6 linked regions of the Rattus norvegicus genome follow. The protein of the gene in region 2 purifies or fractionates together with the protein of the main gene of each other region. This does not show direct contact. Links are inferred from orthologs where the notes say so. Each region holds a gene or a part of one and is shown on either strand. Other genes may lie near its edges.

Evidence for each region.
Region 1: the proteins of Mecp2 (region 2) and Tbl1xr1 purify together in Homo sapiens (co-immunoprecipitation; 3 studies listed by BioGRID and IntAct, with this or other methods). This does not show direct contact. The link is inferred for Rattus norvegicus from reciprocal best matches to the Homo sapiens genes MECP2 and TBL1XR1.
Region 3: the proteins of Mecp2 (region 2) and Gtpbp4 purify together in Homo sapiens (affinity purification with mass spectrometry; 3 studies listed by BioGRID and IntAct, counting the BioPlex papers as one, with this or other methods). This does not show direct contact. The link is inferred for Rattus norvegicus from reciprocal best matches to the Homo sapiens genes MECP2 and GTPBP4.
Region 4: the proteins of Mecp2 (region 2) and Ddx56 purify together in Homo sapiens (affinity purification with mass spectrometry; 3 studies listed by BioGRID and IntAct, with this or other methods). This does not show direct contact. The link is inferred for Rattus norvegicus from reciprocal best matches to the Homo sapiens genes MECP2 and DDX56.
Region 5: the proteins of Mecp2 (region 2) and Kpna3 purify together in Homo sapiens (affinity purification with mass spectrometry; 3 studies listed by BioGRID and IntAct, counting the BioPlex papers as one, with this or other methods). This does not show direct contact. The link is inferred for Rattus norvegicus from reciprocal best matches to the Homo sapiens genes MECP2 and KPNA3.
Region 6: the proteins of Mecp2 (region 2) and Kpna4 purify together in Homo sapiens (affinity purification with mass spectrometry; 3 studies listed by BioGRID and IntAct, counting the BioPlex papers as one, with this or other methods). This does not show direct contact. The link is inferred for Rattus norvegicus from reciprocal best matches to the Homo sapiens genes MECP2 and KPNA4.

What each region holds. Positions count from the first base shown.
Region 1 is NC_086020.1:106,831,665-106,835,164, forward strand, and holds part of Tbl1xr1 (F-box-like/WD repeat-containing protein TBL1XR1), read left to right. Parts: intron 1-920; coding exon 921-1,143; intron 1,144-1,663; coding exon 1,664-1,796; intron 1,797-2,195; coding exon 2,196-2,337; intron 2,338-2,822; coding exon 2,823-2,886; intron 2,887-2,988; coding exon 2,989-3,086; intron 3,087-3,500. UniProt on the Homo sapiens protein: F-box-like protein involved in the recruitment of the ubiquitin/19S proteasome complex to nuclear receptor-regulated transcription units. Plays an essential role in transcription activation mediated by nuclear receptors.
Region 2 is NC_086039.1:156,940,744-156,943,902, forward strand, and holds the end of Mecp2 (methyl-CpG-binding protein 2), read right to left. Parts: intron 2,470-3,159; coding exon 2,119-2,469; intron 1,618-2,118; coding exon 516-1,617; 3' UTR 501-515; downstream 1-500. UniProt on the Homo sapiens protein: Chromosomal protein that binds to methylated DNA. It can bind specifically to a single methyl-CpG pair. It is not influenced by sequences flanking the methyl-CpGs.
Region 3 is NC_086035.1:65,997,883-66,002,182, forward strand, and holds the start of Gtpbp4 (GTP-binding protein 4), read left to right. Parts: upstream 1-1,500; 5' UTR 1,501-1,541; coding exon 1,542-1,589; intron 1,590-4,273; coding exon 4,274-4,300. UniProt on the Homo sapiens protein: Involved in the biogenesis of the 60S ribosomal subunit. Acts as a TP53 repressor, preventing TP53 stabilization and cell cycle arrest.
Region 4 is NC_086032.1:85,326,263-85,329,762, reverse strand, and holds part of Ddx56 (probable ATP-dependent RNA helicase DDX56), read left to right. Parts: intron 1-1,516; coding exon 1,517-1,590; intron 1,591-1,879; coding exon 1,880-1,957; 3' UTR 1,958-3,500. UniProt on the Homo sapiens protein: Nucleolar RNA helicase that plays a role in various biological processes including innate immunity, ribosome biogenesis or nucleolus organization. Plays an essential role in maintaining nucleolar integrity in planarian stem cells.
Region 5 is NC_086033.1:39,783,328-39,787,335, reverse strand, and holds the start of Kpna3 (importin subunit alpha-4), read left to right. Parts: upstream 1-1,208; 5' UTR 1,209-1,215; coding exon 1,216-1,284; intron 1,285-1,291; exon of another isoform or gene 1,292-1,747; coding exon of another isoform or gene 1,748-1,870; intron 1,871-4,008. UniProt on the Homo sapiens protein: Functions in nuclear protein import as an adapter protein for nuclear receptor KPNB1. Binds specifically and directly to substrates containing either a simple or bipartite NLS motif.
Region 6 is NC_086020.1:155,656,252-155,659,751, reverse strand, and holds part of Kpna4 (importin subunit alpha-3), read left to right. Parts: intron 1-1,257; coding exon 1,258-1,353; intron 1,354-2,195; coding exon 2,196-2,281; intron 2,282-3,500. UniProt on the Homo sapiens protein: Functions in nuclear protein import as an adapter protein for nuclear receptor KPNB1. Binds specifically and directly to substrates containing either a simple or bipartite NLS motif.

The sequences.
Region 1 (3,500 bases), on a different chromosome or scaffold from region 2:
ATGCTCAGAGCTGCATGTGTAAGTAGTGTGTTTGTTTCAGGTATAGGCATGCTACTGTTGCCTGAGGCAATCTTATCTGCTCCCTGATTGTATAAATCAGCCTTGTAGCACAGCCAGACTCATTTACTTCTGGACTGTCACTGGGATCATGAGGAACTGTAACAAGGCTGTTATGCCCTTCAAAGCATTAATAAGCACACATTGCATGTTCTTTCTGAGTGGAACTTTGTTGTAGCTACAATGTTTAGTGTATGGCCAGAACACAGAATATGTAGAAGGTCTCTTCCCCACATCCCCCCATTTTTTTTGGTAAAAGTAAGTGAAAAGATTTTAGCTCTTTAAAGTAGTCCAGTCCCTTGTTTTCCTAAGGGATAGGTCCTACACCACCATAGCTAGCATTATCTGCTGGTTCTCTTAGGTTACACTTAATATCATTTGTATGTCATACAATATCATGCATTTAGATCACTTATATGATATGATCATCCTGTAGTGTTTAGAGAAAACCCATAAGAGAAAGATCTGCTCCAGGTCAGGATAGGTGCATCATCCCAAGGCCTGGGTGCAGAATGCAGATGCAAGTACTGGGTACTTTCTTCTCATTGTATGACATATTCATATTGGTCAGTGTTTCTTACTAGCAGCTTCCCTTACCTGAATGTTATAGTATGCATTTTATTATCTTTAACCTTTTGCCAATGGCCTCTTGTATTGGTTTGTCTTTGTGCAGAGTTGATGAGGACCTTAGGTGACAGTTGGTGGCTGTTTGCATTTGACTCTTGCAGTGCCATTCTTGCTCCCTTCCCCCTTCTTGCTCATGTTCATGGTTTCCTCAGAATGAAGTTTTTCGTTTTGTTAATGGAGTATATGTCAACCTGACAACTACATCTCATTTTTCTTTCCCTGTTTTTCAACCCCAGGATGGCACCTTATTTGATGGTCGACCCATAGAGTCTCTGTCCCTGATAGATGCTGTCATGCCCGATGTCGTCCAAACAAGACAACAAGCCTACAGAGACAAGCTTGCACAGCAACATGCAGCCGCTGCTGCAGCTGCTGCCGCAGCCACTAACCAGCAAGGCTCTGCGAAAAATGGAGAGAACACAGCCAATGGGGAGGAGAATGGAGCACACACCATCGCAAGTGAGCAGAGAATGCTTGGAGATGGTCAGCACACACTGCTCTACTGTAGTGCCCACCCTTAGAAGCTACACTGATAACCGGTGTTTGCCTCTACCCCAACTGGCATCAACACACTTCAGATTACAGACCTAAGATTCCAAAAGCTAAATGAACTGAATGTTCGTTCCTTTTTAAATGTTTCTGAAGCCTTTTTCTACTCTTAAGTGCATTTTGCATCTGCATTTGATTTCTAAGTAAAATTTATAATAGTCTCTGTTACAAACATCCAACAAGGCTCTGACATTGAGGAATAAAGATGACTCGTGCTGTATGAATGATAGCAGCAACCCCTACTGGCAGAACTCAGAATAGTATTGTTACAGACTTTAATTCAGCCTTGCTGAGGTATAACCTTTTTTCCCCCTTTCTTTTTACCATTTCACATACACATTCCGGGATACTCACACTTTTAAAACTAGCACGTCATACTTGCCAGACATGTGCTTCCCTTCTGACAGAACTGCTACTTTTCACGATGCAGATAATCACACGGACATGATGGAGGTGGACGGGGATGTGGAAATCCCTCCCAATAAAGCGGTTGTGCTTCGGGGCCATGAATCGGAAGTTTTCATCTGTGCCTGGAACCCTGTTAGTGATCTCCTGGCATCAGGGTAGGTTTTTCAAAGAGCTTTCTAGTTGTTGAGCATTTTGTTTGGTTTTAGACAGGATTTGCTGTTTAACTTGACGTGTTGACCCACCTGTGTCCTGGGCTTTACCATGCCCAGCACTATCGTGGTATTTAAGAATACCTCACCAAATAGGCTGCTACATGTTTTTGTTAATATATTTCACTTTATAGTCACTTCTGTTGATTGCTTATGATCATCTTGCCTTGGTAGATTAGTATTTCTTGTGAAGTTGTTACTTAGTAGAAGCTCTAAAATATAAAATAAGAAAAATATTAAAATGTTTGTGTCCAGTAGTCTACTTCTTATTCATGCTAAATGTGTGGCTTAGATTGTGGAATGCTTGCTCATATGAGGACTTGAGCTGATATTTTGACTCTGAAGGTCTGGAGACTCCACTGCAAGAATATGGAACCTCAGTGAGAACAGCACAAGTGGCCCCACACAGCTGGTGCTTAGACACTGCATACGGGAAGGAGGGCAGGACGTTCCCAGTAACAAGGATGTCACCTCTCTAGATTGGAATGTGAGTGTTCTTTTCTTGCATAGGTGGTCTGTGAATGAAGACATTTGAGGACTCGACATACTATAATCTGGAGATTAGGTCCCAATTTTAGCTTCAACCTGGCTCCATATTCCTAAAATCCTAATCAAAATTTAAAAATAAATTGAAGGCTTTACTTTTTACCTCTTATAAAAAGCATCCTCAGAGTATCATTTTTATGTTGTCCTTCCTGGTCTATACCTGCTGCATCCTCACTCATGGTCCTCTGTGAAAATGTTCTGCGGAGGAACTGCAGTCCTGCTCCACAGTGCTGCCTGCCAGTGCTCATCCTTGGGTGGGCTGTCTGAGGACACTGGCTTCATCTGCGAGCAGGGTTTTGCCAGCCTTTGTTGGCACTCACACAGAGATCTGGGTCTTTTGTGCCCAGAACTTCAACAGGCACTGTGTGTGTAGTAATTAAATGGCCTTTTGGATTGTGTAATAAACAAAATGTATTTCTCTGCCAGAGTGAAGGTACACTTCTAGCAACTGGGTCATATGACGGATTTGCCAGAATATGGACTAAAGATGGTATGAATTTTTCTAACTTTATTGATGTTCTAAGTTATAAAGTTTAAAGTAATTTTAAAGTTTTTTGTTGTTGTTGTTGTTGTTTGTTCTTTTTTAATTTAGGTAATCTTGCCAGCACCTTGGGGCAGCATAAAGGTCCTATATTTGCATTAAAATGGAATAAGAAAGGAAATTTCATCCTAAGTGCTGGTGTAGACAAGGTAAATGAACATTCAAGTCAAGTTCTATCAAGAATATATTTGAAAGTAATTTTTTCTTTCCTGCTAATAACTTAAGCAGACTTCAGTTCATTCAAATAAGAAGTGGTAACAGTAATAGAAATTTTTCTTATATTGTCTGCTTATTTTCCGAAACTACTATCTTATCTTTCATTGATATGACCATGCCTCATTTTTGCTAGGATTTGTACCTGGTGAAGCATTAGAACTAAGCACTTTGTGCTTCCCAGTCCATCTCAGTGGCAACGGCTCCTTCCACCCAGCAGAGAACAGACTGTTAATCTGTTAATCTGCTGGGGGAGGGGACAGAAACTGCCTTCGACTCATATTTTCAGTGAGCAGTTCTAAAAGAGAGCTGAAGGAATGTGCAAAAGCAGGGGAGGGGAGAGCCAGCCC
Region 2 (3,159 bases):
CCAAGAGTCCTATATAGTTTCTCCTGCGTCACACCTCCCAGTCCCTCAGATTGGGAGTTGGGGTGGTGTAAAAGTCAGGGAAGCTATGGACAGGGCATCAGTGGCACCAAAAATGGGAGTGTCCTCTCAATTGCCCTCTCTAATGAGCACACAGGGGATAGGGGTGGGGTGAGGAGGGAGGGGGTTGTTGTTGTGGGGAGTGCCTGGTCAACAGCTTGTCTGGTCAGTAGTATCTGCAGCAAGCCTTGTTGAAGGAGCCTAGTTTAGAAAAGTGCAAAGCTACTTCTGGCCCTGGTTAGGTCTTCAACCTGACTGTGCTTGTCGGTAAGAAAAACATCCCAATGCTCCAACTACTCCCACCCCGAAGCCACGAAACTCTAAGTTTACTGAAAGAAAAAAAAATATTTTTTATTTCAGTTAATCGGGAAGCTTTGTCAGAGCCCTACCCATAAGGAGAAGAGACAACAGCTGCCTTTATTCTTGTTGGTTTGCTTTGCAATCCGCTCTATGTAAAGTCAGCTAACTCTCTCGGTCACGGGCGTCCGGCTGTCCACAGGCTCCTCTCTGTTTGGCCTCGGCATGGAGGATGAAACAATGTCTTTGCGCTCTCCCTCCCCTCGGTGTTTGTACTTTTCTGCAACTGTGGTGGTGGTGGTGGTGGTGGTGGTGGCGGCGGCAGCAACCATGGGCTGAGTCTTAGCTGGCTCCTTGGGGCAGCCATCGCTTTCCAGTGAGCCTGCTCGGGGCATCTTCTCCTCTTTGCAGATGCTGCTGCTCAAGTCCTGAGGCTCAGGGGGGCTGATGGGGTCCTCAGAGCTCTGAGGCTCAGGTGGGGGTGGAGGTGGAAGCAATGGCATGGGGGCCTTTGGGGACTCTGCGTGATGGTGGTGATGATGGTGCTCCTTCTTAGGTGGTGAGGAGGCACTGCTGCTGCGCCCCTTGGGGCTGCTCTCCTTGCTTTTACGCCCAGGGCTCTTGCATGTCTTCAGTCCCTTTCCACTCTTCTCACCAAGTGTAGACACCAGCAGGGGCTTCACCACCTCCTTGACCTCAATGCTGACGGTTTCCCGGGTCTTGCGCTTCTTGATGGGGAGCACAGTCTCCTGCACAGACCGTATAGAAGATTCCTTCACAGCTTTCTTTTTGGCCTCTGCAGCAGCAGCTGCCACCACACTCCCAGGCTTTCTACCCCGTTTCTTAGGAATGGCCTGGGGGTCAGCTTCAGCTTTTCGCTTTCTGCCAGGGCGTTTGATCACCATGACCTGCGCAGATGTGGTAGCCCCACCTCCCTCACCCTTACCCCCAGGTGATGCTTGGAAAGGCATCTTGACGAGAAGTTTCCCAGGGCTCTTCTCCAGGACCCTTTTCACTTGAACACCTTCTGATGCTGCTGCCTTTGGTCTCCCAGTGCCGCTCCCTTTCGGGCGTCCCCGACCCCTGCCAGTTCCTGGAGCTTTGGGAGATTTGGGCTTCTTAGGTGGTTTCTGTTCTCTCCTGGAAGGGCTCCCTCTCCCAGTTACAGTGAAGTCAAAATCATTAGGGTCCAAGGAGGTGTCTCCCACCTTTTCAAAATATGCAATCAATTCTACTTTAGAGCGAAAGGCTTTTCCCTGGGGACTGTAGAGACAAACAGAGAGACAAACAATAGTCAGAAGCTTTTTGATAACGTAGAGACTGACTTAGAAAATGTAGTACTGACAAGCTTTCTTCTAAGACATTGTAAATGAACAACAAACTGAAGTGCTAAAATTATTGGAGGGCACACCTAGGTCAGATGCATAGTAGAAATCATGTTACAGCTTGCTCAGAAGCCAATGCAGCTGAATCTGAAAACAGAGGACCTGCCCACTTTCAAGCACACTTCTCTGTACTTCCTGCTTCTCCACAATACTGAAACCAAACGGGTGAGGCCTGGTACTTGGTGAACATTGGGCTGGGTCCAATCTGTTGGTTGGTACCCAGACTTAACCCAACACCAACACATTTCTGCATTTTAACCAAGGCATGATGTCCAGCCTCTTTGGGAAGCCATTTCAGTGCAATAAAGCTTTTGCATCCTAGCCTTCCCACCCACCTGGCCTTCCCTGTTCTGTAGACACAAGACTTGCTCTTACTTACTTGATCAAATATACATCATACTTTCCAGCAGAGCGACCAGACTTCCTCTGTTTAAGCTTTCGCGTCCAACCTTCAGGCAAGGTGGGGTCATCATACATAGGTCCCCGGTCACGAATGATGGAACGTCGCTGTTTGGGAGAAGCAGAGGCTTCTGGTACTGCTGGGGCAGAGCCTGAGCTTTCTGATGTCTCTGCTTTGCCTGCCTCTGCTGGCTCTGCAGAATGGTGGGCTGAAGGCTGTAGTGGTTCATGTTTGCCCTCTTTGTCTTCCTTCTTGTCTTTCTTCACCTTCTTAAACTTCAGGGGTTTCTCTTTGAGGCCCTGGAGATCCTGGTCTTCTGACTTTTCCTCCCTGAAGTATTAAACAAATATGTAAGTATTACAGAGAGCATAGCTGTCTGCACAGTAGTGAGTATAGGTGAGCTTGAATGCCACACATGAGACCCCTGGCTGCTGCATACTCTCTCTGATTTTGGTAACTTCCCTAGGACAATGTATCTTTGGGCCAAGCTGGGGCCCAAAGATTTCTTTAGCAGCTTTAGGTAGTTGGTGATGTTGGTCAAACACATTCAACTTTTATCATACTTCTCCAAACCCTAGTTCTAATGCTCTTAAAGTGGCACATGTTTTTTTTTTTTTTTAATTTTTTTTCTGGAATATAAGCACTGTAGGGCTGGCTTCTTAACATACCACTGTCAGAAGTCAGTTTGTAAGTTGCACCTAATGGCCCCTTGGGCTTGCCACATGACAAGACAAAACATGTAAGATAAATAAAATAATACAGCAAAGCCAGAAAAGGGCATTGGATCTCTTGGGACTGAAGTTACAGATGGTTGTGATCCACCCTGTGATTGCTGGGAAATGAATCCAGGTCTGCTGGAAGAGTAGCCAGAGCTCTTAACTTCTGAACCATTGCTTCAGCCCCCTGACTTTCCAATTCAAAGCAAGGACTGCAGCAAGAGATTTCAGCAGTGTAAGCCCCAGTTTCCTCATCTCAACATTAGATAATATAATCTCATCCCTGATGCATTCTTTTTGTGAG
Region 3 (4,300 bases), on a different chromosome or scaffold from region 2:
ATCCCTAGATTCTGCTCACCCACTGTGTGGGACCACATGCAGCTCTTTTGCCTTATCCCATAATTTTCCTTCTCTGCTCCTGTTCCAGGGATTTATCATCAGTGGGACCACTCTTTATGCCTCACCTCTGCCCAAGGCCTCAGCTACTAACTTTGTTTCAAGGTCTTTAGTTCTGGTCAATCTTGCTCTTGGCTCTAGGTCCGCCTTGTTCTGAACTCTGGTGGGAATCAGAGTGTGAGGCTGTCCTTCCCAACAACACAGAGGGATGCATTTAGTTAGAAAAGCAGAAAATGCTCTTTATTTTCAGATATACCTAATTTACATTTCTGGAGTCATGTGGGGTGGAGATTTCACTTCTGATTGAAATGTCTGATTGGAATTGAGGAAGAAACCAGGCTGAAAGAAACTTGTATCATAGTAGTCCACATGGGAGCTGTGAAGCCACCACTCAGAAAGGAGACTCTGAAGAGGAAGAACTTTGAGGAGTATCTAGTTAGGGAGAGACAGCAGGAAATTAGCAAAGAAGACTGGATTCTAGACATCATGTACCAAAATGATGGATGTCACAGAAATAGGGAGAAGGGTTTGAAGGGGACAGCAATACCCGAAAAAGGGTCATTTAAGTTACAAGATAATCAGGAGGCAAGAGTAGCTGGATGGAGGCTGGCAGGATTCCCAAGGATCCAAAACAAAAAAACAAACAAACAACCCCCCCCCCAAAAAAAACAACAAAAAAACGGTGGCTTAATTAAAATGATAGGGAAAACAAATATGGGAAAGTTGGCTTCAATCCATGTAATTCTGTACGGATCAGACTCTGTCTATGTCCTGGTCCTGGGTTCAGGGCAGCTGTGCGGGGCAGTTTTTTTCACTGGCCCATGCCAGATGAAGGCTGAGCGCCTTCAAACCACCGCGAGGCTGCAAGGTCAGGAGAGGGAGCTCGAGCCACCTGGAAGGATGCAGTCTTTTCTATCGTCAGAAGTCCCTGTCAACATTATTTACTCCAATAAATAACTTTCCACAGTGCCAGGCGACAGCATTTGTTGCTCAGGGGACACACAGTGATGCAAGAGCCCCGCTCTATGTCTTCCTGCATGTCACTTGCCCTGACCACGGCGTCCCCAGAGGTGGCGAACAGCCTTTGGAGCCCTGAGGCTTGCTTGGGTGAGGGGAGTGTTTCCTGAGACCCCGCCAAGGTGGCCAGCCTGGAGTATCTCCTTCACCCCGCAAGGTTATTCCCCACCCTCCACCTCTCAAACCCAGCCGATCTCCACAGCAGCTCATCCGGTCTCCTTATCTCTCGGCCGCGGACTTCACGGCCGAGTGGGGGCGCTGTCGAGGAGCACGTCCGGGCGGACGCGCGGGCCACGCCTCGCAGACATTCAGGAAATGATGCAATGCTTGAGCCCTGCAGCTAAAGTTCAGTCAAGCCGAATGGCGGAAGTCCCGCCCAACCCCGCCGGCGGAAGTCCCGCCCGCTCTTGACGGCGGAAGTCCGGTCCTCCGCTTCTCCAGGTTTCCTCGTGCGTTCCACCGCCGGCATGGCGCATTACAACTTCAAGAAGATTACGGTGGTGCCGTCAGCCAAGGTAGGGGTGATCGAGGTCGTTCCCGCCTATCTCCCTTCCCCTGACAAGTCTCCAGGGAGGGTTTAGTTCTGTATCCCCGAGACCGGGGGAGGGAGGACGCCTTGGATCCACTCGGCCCTCAGACCCGAGCTCCACTTGTTAGGCTTTGTCCTCGGCACTCTCGGAGATCAGTCACACTCTCTGGAACCAAACCCCTCTCCCTCTGTCCATGGGTGCCCTGAATCCTAGAATCCCTCCAAGACCTCAGAACTCTTCCAGGACCTATTATTCTTCTGTGCCCTGCCGACGTGACAAAGTGTCTGGGTGCTGGCCGCAGTAAGGAGCAAGGCAGGAAGCCTGGAGTGGTTAGTGGTGAGCGTCGTGAGACCCCTGCTTTAGGATTCTAGATTCAACGTAGTATCCTCCCTTTTAAGTAAAACTTGATTCGTGCTGTCACGGTCTAAAAAATTCTAGGTAGTTGTCATTTGTCGTTGGATTTAGAAAATGCAATTGGTTTTAAGCACGCAAGGCCAAATTTATGTGACGTAGCAAGATACGTTCCTTCCAAATGTCGAGTATTATTAGTTAGGCTAAAGAACCTAAAAAGATACACGTGTTTCTTTGGCAAGCCATGGGCATTGAATCGCAGGATCAACTAGAGGAACCAATGTCACTGTCATTAAATTTACAGCAGTGTGGGTATTTTCGATATCTTCCTTTATGAAAGAGCTTGTTCTGAACTTTGTTAATATAATTGACCTAGTAAAGAATTGAACGCAGCATGTGTCTCTGTTGCCCTGAAGGAGTTCTGCTGCTAGAAAACAGATTAAGTTAGCATATGTATTAATAGGCGATGGGAATCCTTCGGTGGTTGGAAATAACTCAAGTCTAAAGAGTATGGGGTATTTTTGTAAAAGTGTGTGCTAGGTTCTGTGTATAGACACTCAAAAGAATAGTCTACGTCTTTAAGAATCATTTTCTGAAGGAATAACAAAATGCATTTAGACCCACTGCAGTATCATGGAGAACTGTGTGAAATACATTTGGCCCTCTGTGTTTGAGTTCAAATCCAGATTCAACCAACCGCAGACCAAGAACACTATTTGAAAACTGCATCCACATTTAATGTGCACAGACTTTATTTTCCCTTTTTTGTTGTTTATCTGTTTGTTTTCTTTCTTTTTGGAGATGGTCTTACTAAGCTGACATGGCTGGCCTGGAACTTAAAGAAATATGCCTGCTTCTGCTTCAGAGTGTTAAGATTAAAGGCATGAGCCTCCATGCACTAACATTCCCTAAATATATGACATATGTATGTGGATTCTTCTATACACAAGCACTGTACCACTTTATAATGAATTCAGATATCTGTTTGAGAGCTATTGTGGTGAGGGCGTGTGGGGAGAAACTCTGACTGTAAACTCCTGTAAGTATCAGGGATTTGGGATAGCATAAGAATGTAGGGAGAACAGGGCAGTGTTGATGTACGCCTTTAATCCTAGTGCTCAAGAGGCAAAGGCAGGAGATCTCTGGGTTTGGGGCTAACCTGGTGTACACTGAGCAAGATAAGTTGTAGGACAGCCAAGGCTACAGGCAGAGAAACCCTGTTCAGAAAAACAAAACAAACAAACAAAAACATGCTGATAAAAGGGAGAGTCTGGAGAAACTTTTCAGTAGGCAACTTTTACTGTCTCCCTAAAGATGTGAGGACCATGGTAAGGAACAGAGGGGAGGAACAGAGGCCTGAGTGTTCATGCTCTTCATAATCCCTGGCAGACTATTGCGATTACCTGCTTGCCTTTGGTTTTGCTTCACGGGATCTTGGCGCCTAGTTCACTGCTTTGTCCACCATTGTTGTTCATTCTATCCTTTATTACAGGACACGAGCAATATTGTTGAGGTAATGGAAGTGATCAAGGGAAAGGAGAACAGTTTTGTATGGTTGGGTAAAAGTGAATAGGGACAAATAGCTCAAATCCTCAGTCTCCTCAACATACATAGGGAATTTTAGATGGTGGGTTTTAGATTTTTCATTTTATAACCCCTTAAAATCACAACTACAATGTCCTTGAAATTGAAGAACTGTCTCTTTTTCTTCTGATTTATTCTTGAGTTTTCTTAGGAGTTTGCAAGTTAAAATAGTATTAAAAAAACATGGGTTAAAATATATTTCAGCAACCATTAGCAAGTCCTTTCCTCTACATTGGGCAGATTTATAGGAATGACTAGGGAGGGGCCTCCTCCATCAGTTGGGAGTATTCACAGGGTTTTCAGCCACTCCAAACGAGGGTCCTGGGGGTGGCTGGACACGTCGAGCATGCCCTCATTATCAGGGATGGATGGGGCTGGGTGTTTGTAAGGTGTGGCCTGGTTGGTCATGGTTGGTGTAGGGGCTGAGTGAGGGCATAGTTAAAGCAGGGCTTTGGCACTAAAGGACACCACCAGCACCGGCCCTTTCAGTCAGGCATTCCTGAGGAGTGTGGCGAGTCTCTCAACTGTCTTAGTGTTGGTGGTGGGTAGCAAGTTTTCATAAGGGCCAGAAACTGTAAAGATGACCCAAGTTGTATATAAAACAATTGATTTTTGAAAAAATAAGTTTTGTAGTTTAAACCATATAGTACTGGACTAATGTTTTATGGTTATAAGCAAATGGCTAGAAAGTACATGTGTTTGAATTTCATCTTAATTATTTTCTTTAATCATAGGACTTTATTGACCTGACATTATCCAAG
Region 4 (3,500 bases), on a different chromosome or scaffold from region 2:
TCAGTTTGCTGATGCCATGTTGCTGCCTTGGGAGTAACAGGCAGGGCTGGGAAATCCCAACACCCAGGGGCAGAGACAGGCCGATCTGTGTGAGTTTGAGGCCAGCCTGGTCTACAGATCAAGTTTCACAGCAGCCAGGGCTATGTAGAGAAAAAAAAAACAAAACAAAAAAGATGACAGGAAGGTAAGGGAGGGACATACTAGGGCAGAAGAGGTGCAAGTGTGAAAGGGCCCAGGAAAGGGCTGGAGGCAGGTGCTGAGGGACAGTGAGCCAGAGAAGATCACCCTTGGTCTGTGTCAGAAATGCTGGGAGGCTCCCTTCGGCCTAAAGCACCTGCTAAGAGCCAAGTCGCTCACTAAGAGCGTGGCCAGGGGAGGCGTGAAGGGTTAGATGTGGCCTGTCCTGATGGGGTTGAAGTGGGTGCTGTGAGGCTGGGATCTCGAGATCTTGAAGTTCTGGTAGATATAGAGGGGAGGGGAGGGGCAGTAACCACCCTCTGAACCCCCCCCCCCCCCCCCCCCGAGCTGGGGACTGTACCCAGGGCCTTGTGCTTGCTAGGCAAGCACTCTACCACTGAGCCAAATCCCCAACCCTTGAATTCTCTCTTTTTTTTTAAAGATTTATTTATTTATTATATATAAGTACACTGTAGCTGTCTTCAGATACACCAGAAGAGGGCATCAGATCTCTTTACAGATGGTTGTGAGCCACCATGTGGTTGCTGGGAATTGAACTCATGACCTCTGGAAGAGCAGTCGGGTGCTCTTAACCGCTGAGCCATCTCTCCAGCCCGAATTCTCTCTTTTTAATGCCTCATCCTTAAAGGTGTCATCCCCCCCACCCCTCTGTGCTATACACATGCTCTGCTGCTGCTGAATATGTCATAGGTTCTCTCTCTATTTCATTTATATGTTGCTGTCTTCAGACGTACCAGAAGAGGGCATCAGATCCCATTACAGATGGCTGTGAGCCACCGAGTGGTTTCTGGGAATTGAACTGGGGACCTCTGGAAGAGCAGCCAGTGCTCTTAACCACTGAGCCATCTCTGCAGCCCCTCTCTTTCCTTGTTTTGTGTCCTTTCACTAAATACTACAGAGATGACTCAGATAGGCAGTGGGAGCCTATGGAGCTAACTTTAATCTTTCATCTGTGCACGTGTAATAAATGAGTACTGGATACTCCTCTGCCTTCTGTCCACGCCCCCCAACTCTTTACTTTCTTTATGGCTTTTTGACACAGGGTTTCTCTGTGTAGCCCTGGCTGTCCTAAAACCCACTCTGTAGACCAGGCTGGCCTTGAACTCAGATCCTCCTGCCTCTGCCTCTGAGTGCTGGGATTAAAGGTGTGCACCACGGCTGCTGGGCTGGATTGGAGTCCGTGCTGTAGGTGTACAGGGTAGGCTGAGAAGGGAGTGGGCCAACACTGGAAGCCAGGCTCCCGGAGTAGACAGAGCTGTGTAGCCGAAGCTACAGCTGAATAGCTGAGGCTATCCCTGAAGTCCAGCCTCTCTTCCAGTTCCTGCCGCTCTTCGTGGCCTTGTACATCCTCGAAAGAAACGGAGAAAGATGCCCTTCTCTAGAAAGGCTAAGGTATGTCTCCTGCCATTCCTGGTAGCAGGGTTCCTTTCCGCCTTGCCCTTCACCCACCTTCAGCAGTCTGAGGGAGGGAAAGGACTCCCAGGAGTGGGTGTGGGGTTGTGGTATTCCCTACAGATGCCTGAAGGCCCTGTTCTGCCATCAGTGGTCTCCCTCACGTTGTCTGCAGCCGCTGGCTGTTTCTGGCTTGTGGCACAGGGATTTGATCAGGTGCCAGCACTGCTCACTCTGCTGGGACCGTCTGACTGATTCCCCAAACTGACTTTCGACTCTGCCCTTGTAGAAGGTGAAGACCCAGAACCCACTGCGTGACTTCAAGCACAGGGGGAAGAAGCCTAAACCCACAGCAAAGCCTTCTTGAGGTTGCCTGAGCCTGGGGACACTGAATTGGGCATCCTGGCCTGTGTGGACTGGGCTGCCCACTCCTTGTGGGCACATTCTGGTGCTTGCTGTTTGGACAGACTACTTTGAGGAAGCAGCTTTGGACACCCCGTCACCTTGGCACTGCTGGGCTGCCATGTTGTCCGTTAGCAGAATAAAGATTCCGTCTGCTCCAGGCTGTGACCCTCTGGACTGTGGGAAGAAACTGCTTTCCCATATCTCCAGAGCTGGCAGACTTCGAAAAGGCGATCCTGTCTGGCTCTGCTGCTGCGTGCAGTGCCGCCGCTGGCACGCAGAGGCCAGGTGTCCTGGTTCTGCTGGTCCAGTGTGGGGCTGGGGCTGACCCAGAGCCCTGTATTGAGTTCTACTGATGCAGACCAGCTGACAGGTGGGCTTCTCTTCTTCTAAGTCAGACCCTAAGCCTGCATCTCACCAGCACATGCATGTTCCCATTCAGAGAAAAGGTGACTAAGCCCTGGGAGACGAGGCGCTCGTGTCCCTTCCTAGGTGAAGGAGCGGGACAGTGTGTTTGTCTCAGAAGCACAAGTGGTAGTATAGGGAGTGCACGCCGTGAGACCCTTCCTCCGTGTCCCAGCCTGAGCCCTGGCTACGGGAGTATTCATTCAGAGCAGGTGATTCTCCGCATCCTCCTACCTGACCCGGGTACCACAGTGTGACCCACGGCTGTCTGCCTGTCAGTTCTTATCAGGCGTGGTAAGGCGAGGCTGGGGTGGGGAGAGACAGTGGAGGGTGGGAGAACTGTCACATCTGGTGAGGCTCTGGTTATAGTTAGGGTGTGTGGCTTAGTGACAGGATCTGAGACTTGGGGTTTCTTTATCTTAACTCCAAGGGTCTTCAGAAAGCTGGAGTCTGTCACCTGGGAAGACAGGGATTGTGAGTGGATAGATAGATTCCAGAGCCTTGATGTCCACAGTGGTATAGACCTGTGCTCAGTTGTACTGAGAAAAGGTCCTGGAGCTGGAGATCAAGAACAACCCTGGGGCTGGGAAATGGTTGTAGATAAAGCGTTTGCTATGCAAGTAGTGAGGGCCAGCATTTGCAGCCGCAGCATCCAAATTAAAGCTGAGTGGCAGCCCGCATCTCCAATTCCATTGTGTGCCTTGTGGGCAGGGAGAGCTAAAGGAACTTGCTAGCTAGGCTGTGTGGCCCAAACAGGAAGCTCTAGGTTCAGGGAAAGACCGCGTCCTAAAAGCTAAGATGGAGAGCAATGGAGGAAGACCCTGGTCTCAGCCTGTGACCTCGCGGGCATGACAGCATGTACCAGCACACGCAAGCAAAGAGCAGTCGCTGGCCTTTTCCGTCCTGCCTTGTGACAGCCCCGGACAGTCGAGTGCCCCGAGGTGAATGTTGCATCCATGCCTGCTGTTCCTGTAGCATTGCCTGTGGTTCTGACACTTTAGTTACCATGGTGAGGACATGTGCCCCAGAACCTTCACCCAATGGAGAGATCGGGTTTCCCTGGTGAGGGTTCCTGTGGGACGATGAAGCTGGTATAAAGTCAC
Region 5 (4,008 bases), on a different chromosome or scaffold from region 2:
TCCTGCCATGATGACAATGGACTCAACCTCTGAACTGTAAGCCAGCCCCAATGAAATATTTTCCTTTATAAGAGTTGCCATGATTATGGTGTCCCTTTACAGCAACAGAAACCCTAATTAAGACAATTCTGAAATGTAATACTCATATATAATCTAATAAGGTTATCTTGCTGTAAAAACAAAAACAAAACCAACCAACTAACCAACCAAAACCAACAAAAAAACTGTTATTGTTCCAACAGGAAGCTAAAGGGAGTTGACAATCTGGAGTCTGCAGACTTAGGTCCTGAAGGCTACATTGTGTTAGGTAGACTAAAGCATCAGGTCATAGAAAGGTAGGGCTGCCAAAGTGAAGGTTGCACAAGGATGCTTGGAGAAATCAGGGGATGCTAGAACACTTTTTTTTTAAAATCAGAATTTACTAGGTACTGTTTTGATCTGACAGATTTTTGAGACCAACAGTGTCTCTTTTCTCATTGAGTTTAATAGCGGGTGCAGGAAGCAATCATAAACACACACATCACACTCACATGTATTTGTGGAGTGGAAACAAGCGTGCTATTTATAAAACCGAAGCAAAGCAGAGAACAGGGTTTGAGGGTGGCTGCTATTTGAGGAGACCCTAAAGAAGCCAAAAGCGCAAAGCACGCGTGGCCGTTCTTTTTCTAATTTTCGAAGCTGTAGAAAGCAAGGTGCGCCCCCGGAGCTCCGCCTCTCTCTCCGGATAGGCTGCAAGGTGCCATCTCCAGAGTTGCCCCGCCCACCAGCCCGCCCAGAGGTGGGGCTTCGAGCCCGCGCTCAGAGAGCGCCTAGCCGAAAGCGCGCGCACAGCCCTCCCGGCATGCTTCTCGTCCTCTCACACCGTGGCTCAGACCCGCGCCTGGCAATCTGGGAATTGTAGTTTGCGCCCTCCGCCCCGCTTCAGGGGTGGCGGTAAAAGCTGCTAGGTCGGGCTCCATTTCTAGCACATGACTAGCTGCTGTGGGGAGGCCCGGCGAAGGGGTGAGGGTAGGGTCAACGCGACAGCCGGCAGGCCAGCGCCCCGGCCTTCTCCGGCGCGCGCCTTTCCTCAGCGCCGCCCCCGCGCCGCGGCCACCTCGCGCTCCAAGCGTCACGGAGCGCGCGCTCCTCCCCCTCCGTCCCCTCCCGCTCGACTCGCCGCCGCCGCCGCCGCCGCCGCCGCAGGAGCAGCCGCCTCCGGAGCCGCGCGCAGCCATGGCCGAGAACCCCGGCTTGGAGAACCACCGCATTAAGAGCTTCAAGAACAAGGGCCGCGATGTGGAGGCGAGTGTGCTCCGCGGCTGGCTGGGTAGGGCGGGGAGGGGCGGGGGCCCGCGGCCGCTGGCTCTCGCCGGCTGGCGGTCAGTCGGAGTTGGCCGCCGCCTCGGGGCGCCGCGGCCCGGGCAGCAGCCGCCCTCTGAGCGGCTAGCGCGGCACCTGGGACCGCTGAGCGCTCGGCCCCGCTGCGCGGGCGCGGCCTGGCGTCGGAGGGGAAGGGATGTGGAGCCGAGGCGGGGTCCGCGGGCCGCGCGGGAGGACGGACCGGGATGCTGCCGCCCCGCGTGCCGACCGCACCGCCGGGGCCGGGCCGCCGCTCGTGTCCGCAGCCGGTGCAGCCTCCCGCGCTGCCGCACATGGAGCCTGGGTCCCCGCGCTTACCTTGTGCGAGCCGGGCCCAGGCGGGCGGTGGCAGCCCTCAGAGGGGGGTGGGGACCAGCCGGGTAACTGACTTGTTTGAGGGTGGTGGATGGGGGAGGGTAGGATGCGCCAAGACCATTTTCTTATATTCCAGTGCTGTCCTTTGGACCAGTCTTCCCGAGCTGTTGCAGCTCATACCCCTGTGACTGCTGGCATTTGGAGCGAGCTAAAGGTGGACAATAGTTTACCGTCTATTGTGTTGAAGCTTTGGGAAGGAGGTTGTGCAGACCTCTGATCTTGGGATTTTTTTTTTTTCTAAAGCACGTTTTGGAGTGGAAGTGTGAATAATAGGAAAATAATTTCTTTGACCTGTTTTGCAGAAATAAATTGGATACATAGATTCCTACGTCCTTGTGTATACCACATGCCACCAAGCTAGTAGATTTTCCAAGTGGTTGCAAAACTGTAAACATTCATTGTGGTCACTCAGTTTGCTGCTACTCAGCATGTTGCCATTGTCTCATTAAGGTGACATTAGCAGCTACTATTTGCAAACTCTGCTTATTGAGGTAGCGCTAGAGGTCTCTCTGCTCCTACTAAAACCAATGAAGTGTAATAGCACAAACTTCACTGGGACCCAACCTCTGGATTTGATGGGGGAAATAGTTTTGAGCCCATATCCTCTTCTCTATTCTAATAGTAGGTAATATGATTTGTATAGTCTAGTAGTCTTTGGTAAGAGGCTAGTTAGTAAATACAGGGTTTGGTTTGGTTGAGAAGCAGACGAACCTGGACCATTTTTCAGAGCTACAAAATTAATTATGAACTGGAAAGAACCTGGGGGAATATCTGTGGAATTCCCATTTGAGTGAGACTATAGGTTTTCTATCTCTGCCCTGATCACATTTAAGTTTCTTTATGAGAATTCCAAACAAAAGTGAAACCTAGCAAATGGAACATCCATCAGTCTGTTTTTTTGGTAAGAGTGTGTGTGTGTGTGTGTGTGTGTGTGTGTGTGTGTGTGTATGTATGTGTATGTGTATGTGTATGTGTATGTGGCGTGTGTGTGGTCTCTCTTGCTTTTCATTTGTTTTGTTTTTGAGACAAGGCTTTAACTACAGGGCAGGCTGGTTAAGCAGAGAGAATAATCCTGCCTCAGTCTCCCACGTGCTGGGATTACAGGTGTGGGCCACCACACTTTGTCCCACCAGTAATTGTTCTTGAGGTTGTCTCTTATTACTGTAAGCAAAACCTGAATAGTTTACGTGGATACTCTATTGCTTGTACATTCTTTCCTTTTCTGGATGTTGGTGTAAGTTTTTGTCATGATTCGTTTGAGTTCTGTGTCCTGTTTGTTAAATGATAACTAGTGAGGACTTCTGCATGTAATAGATCCACAGCAACTACTTGCTGCTTACTAGAAGGTGACAAGTGGCTTGTGGATACATGAAAAGGACAGTTGCCATTTTGTCGGGTTTTGTTTACAACATTTCATGTCCAAGCCTATGTCAGTATAACTAGGACATGAAATAGGCATTCAAATGGTAGTTCTTTGTGGCAGACACAAAGAACTATACATTGGTGTGCTATACCAAGAACATTTAATCCTCACCACTTAGAAGTGGTGCATTCCTTTACTAGAGAAGAAGAATTCTTTTTTTTTTTTTTTTTTTTTTTTTTGGTTCTTTTTTTCCGGAGCTGGGGACCGAACCGAGGGCCTTGCGCTTCCTAGGCAAGCGCTCTACCACTGAGCTAAATCCCCAACCCCAAGAAGAATTCTTCGATATAGAATTGCACGTTTCTGTAGCGTGCTGGTAACATCTGAGAGCATTCATTTGCTAAGTGACTATTGGGTGACTAGTGCAAACAAAGATGGCGTCCGAGTGATCTCTGACAGATAAATGGGAATGAGCTGATCCTGAAGAGTCAAAGAAAAGCTTGGTGCGCCCTCAGTAATCTCAGCACTTGTTGGGATAGCGGCAAGTTAGGAGTTCAAGGTCATCCTGAACCGGCGGGCACCCTACCTCAAAAAATAAGCAAATGAATGAAATGAAAAGGTGATAACTGGGGAAGGGGAAGGGCAGGGTCGAAGAAGGGGATAGGCTTTTGTGATTTGAAGATTACTAATTTCCGAAGTTCCTAGAACTGCAATGGGACTGCTTTGCTAAGGGGTTCTGGGGAGTGGGTGGATGCTAGAAATGTAGTGGAAGGGTAATCTAGGGTCTGGTCTAATTTAGGGTCTTTATTGTGGTTTTAAACAGAACTAAGAGGAGATGCCAGCCATATTAAATTTATTTTTCCCATTAAAAGCTGTGCTGCATTTGAGTCATACTATGAGTTAGCACTATAATTAAGTAGTTGCGATTATTA
Region 6 (3,500 bases), on a different chromosome or scaffold from region 2:
ATGGTTGTGAGCCACCATTTGGTTGCTGGGAAGTGAGCTCAGGACCTCAAGAGAACTGTCAGTGCTCTTAACCACTGAGCCATCTCTCCAGCCTAACTAGACTTTCTTAAGCCACATTGTTACATAGTTGTACAGCAAGTTCCAGTAAGGAAAAGATTTCTGTTAGGATACTTCGTACAATTAAACCTGCACTTTCTCACATAGGAAAATGGGCACGAATCTTTTATTTTTACTCTGTAGATCCCATGAGAACAGACTTTATCTTGTTTTTCCTCAATATCTTCTGAGTATTTTCTTGGATTGCTATATTTATTTCTTTTTTAAAGGTCCTGAGATAAAAAGTACTGTTTGGTTTTCATGATAGTAGTGTATAGAGTAGGATGAGACAAACACTGTGATCGCTTTAAACATACCACCCTTTGACCCTTGTCTTTTATATGCCCCAGTATGCATAATTTTGGTTATTTTGAAAACCTATTAATTTCATTTTTAGCAGAGTTAATGTTTTGTTGAGTGTGTCTAACTTTTTTTCTGAGTTTAAAATGATCTATGAACATTGCACATAAAAATTTTTAGTTGTGCTTAGCACAGTGGCACACTCCTTTAATTCCAGCACCCAGGAGGCAGAGTAGTGAGCTTGAGGCCAGCCTGGTCTACATAGTGAACTCCAGGACATCTGGGACTACATAGTGAGAAACTATGTTTAAGAAGCAAACAAACAAATACAAACAAACACGCACAGAATGTGCTATGTTTAAAGTGATCATAGTGTTCAATTCATCCTAGTCTATACACTCACTATTAATTATGAAACATAATTATTATAACAATATTATACAGCAACTTAAAAAGGAGTAAATACAGAAATATAAAAAAATACTCAAAAGACATGCTGAAGATACCGAGGAAGATAAGATAAAGTGTTTTTATGGAACTTAAACAAGAAAAAATAAAAGCTTGGTGCCTATTTTTCTATTTGAGAGACAGGAGGTGTCTTTTATAGTTGCCCTATTCAGAACTGTGGTGAGAGAGTAGTGTTATGCTAATAAAAGTAGCAAAGTTTCTACTCTATTTTTCTAGTTATTTGTAAATTTAATTTATTAGTTGATCTTCATGATTAGAGAAAATATTGTATAAAGTATAAGTAGCTTTCCAAGAATACTTATGCCATCTCTTCAGATTTACAATGTCTATATCCAGTTTGAATTTAATTGTAATACATGTCACTAAGTTTTACAAGTGGTATCTATCTTACAGGAAGCTTTTATCCAGTGATCGAAATCCACCAATTGATGACTTAATAAAATCTGGAATATTGCCTATTTTAGTTCATTGTCTTGAAAGAGATGACAAGTAAGTATATAATTATTATTATTTTCAATTTCAGTGTGTTCCTTAGAAAGGGTAAAATTTCTAGTTTAATCTTTAAAGGGAAAAGACTCAAAAAGTGGAGGTAAGAGGTTTAGAAGTCCACAGTGATACTTGGCTAAACATAATGAGTTCAGTGGCAATTCTGGACACTAGAAACCCTGTTTCAGAAACCAAACAAGTATAGTGATATATGTGTGTGATCTGAGAAGTTAGAAAGCCTCAACTCAAGGCCTGCCTGGGCTTTGTAGGGAGAGGTTTTCTTTTCTTAAATAGGACTTACTTACTTAATTAATTATTTATATGTATGTATATATATATACATATGTGTGTTGCCAATTAACAAAATTTGTATATGTATATATGTACACTGTTGCTGTTTTCAGACACACCAAAACAGGGCATCCCATTACAGGTGGTTGTGAGCCACCATGTGGTTGCTGGGATTTGAACTCAGGACCTCGGGAAGAGCAGCCAGTGCCCTTAACTGCTGAGCCATCTCTCTAGCTCAAGAGAGATTTTCTTTAAAAAAGAAAGGAAAAGGTTGTGGGATAGAATTGAAAGTTAAAATCAAGGTAAGAACCAAAAACAAATTTGAAAATTATTTTTAACTTGTAAACTTTGAAAACTGGCATGATAAGTAGTTGAAAACTAAGGAATAATATAAAAGTAAATATCTAAGTAAGGAAGTCTGACTTTCAGAATGGAATAATTGGGTTATGTTTTTAAGGCTGGAAAGACATTTCAAATACTAGAGAGAAGGAATAGTTGGTAGACATGTAGGTGATATGAGATGTATGGTTTAAAAGTCACTTGTTCTTTGGTAGTCCTTCTTTACAGTTTGAAGCTGCATGGGCTTTGACAAACATTGCATCTGGAACGTCTGAACAGACGCAAGCAGTGGTTCAGTCCAGTAAGTTGCTAATTAACAAAATTGTAATTTTTTTTTTTCTTTTCATTGGTAAAAAATAAACTGTTTTGGCCAGACATGGTGGCACATGCTTTTAATTCCAACACTTAAGAGGCTAGCATAGGAGGAGGAGACAACTTTCACCGACTCCCCAAGTGCAGATGTTTCAACTTGACTTTGGATTTTTTATCATTGCTCTGTTTAGTATCCAAACTAATGAGATAAAGGAGATATTTTTTATTATGACCATAATTAATCTACATAATATAAATTATGTAGTGTTCTTCAGAGTACTGTCCAAAGACAAGTCAAGAGTCAAGAAGAAGAGTCAAGTCAGAAGTGCAATGTTAGTCTGCTCAGATATGTAGAAACCTATTTTTGTGTTTTATCTTCCACTTAAGCAACAGAATTACTTTCTGACTGAAGAACTCAATGTTCCCTGACAATCAATAGCCTAATGAATCATATCATGTTTTTTTCTTCTCTCTCTTTTTTTAAAGATTTTATTTATTTATTTTATATATATGACGAGTATACTGTAGCTGTCTTCAGACACACCAGAAAGTGGGATCAGATCCCATTACAGATGGTTGTGAGCCACCATGTGGTTGCTGGGAATTGAACTTGGGACCTCTAGAAGAGCAGTCAGTGCTTTAACTGCTGAGCCATCTCAAGCCATCTCTCTAGCCCTGATTTAAATTTCTTATCCAAAAGTTTCATAAGCAAGGCAGGAAAGATGGCTGAGCAGGGAAAGTACCTGCTGCCAAGCCTTATGACCTGAGTCTACTCCCTGGGACCACATGATCAAAGGAGAGAACTGATTTTTGCAACTTGTCCTCTGGCTTATACACACATAAACACCATATACAATATACACAGCAATATATACCACACACACAGATACCCATACACAATACTGATCCATACACACCACATACATACCTCTATAGTACATGTACGCAATACTTAGCCATACATATCTATATGCCACATACATACACAGAGATATACATACACATGCCACATATTCACACTTACATACATATACCCACATACACAGCCATACACACCAATACACACACTCATACACTCTATCTAAATAAATGTATTTAAAAAAATTACCTGAAAAGTCAGATTTTTTTTTTTGTTTGTTTTTTTTTTACTGATTTTGAAGGTAACACTCTAAGGAATGATTCTTGAAATTGGGCTTCAGTCTGAGCTA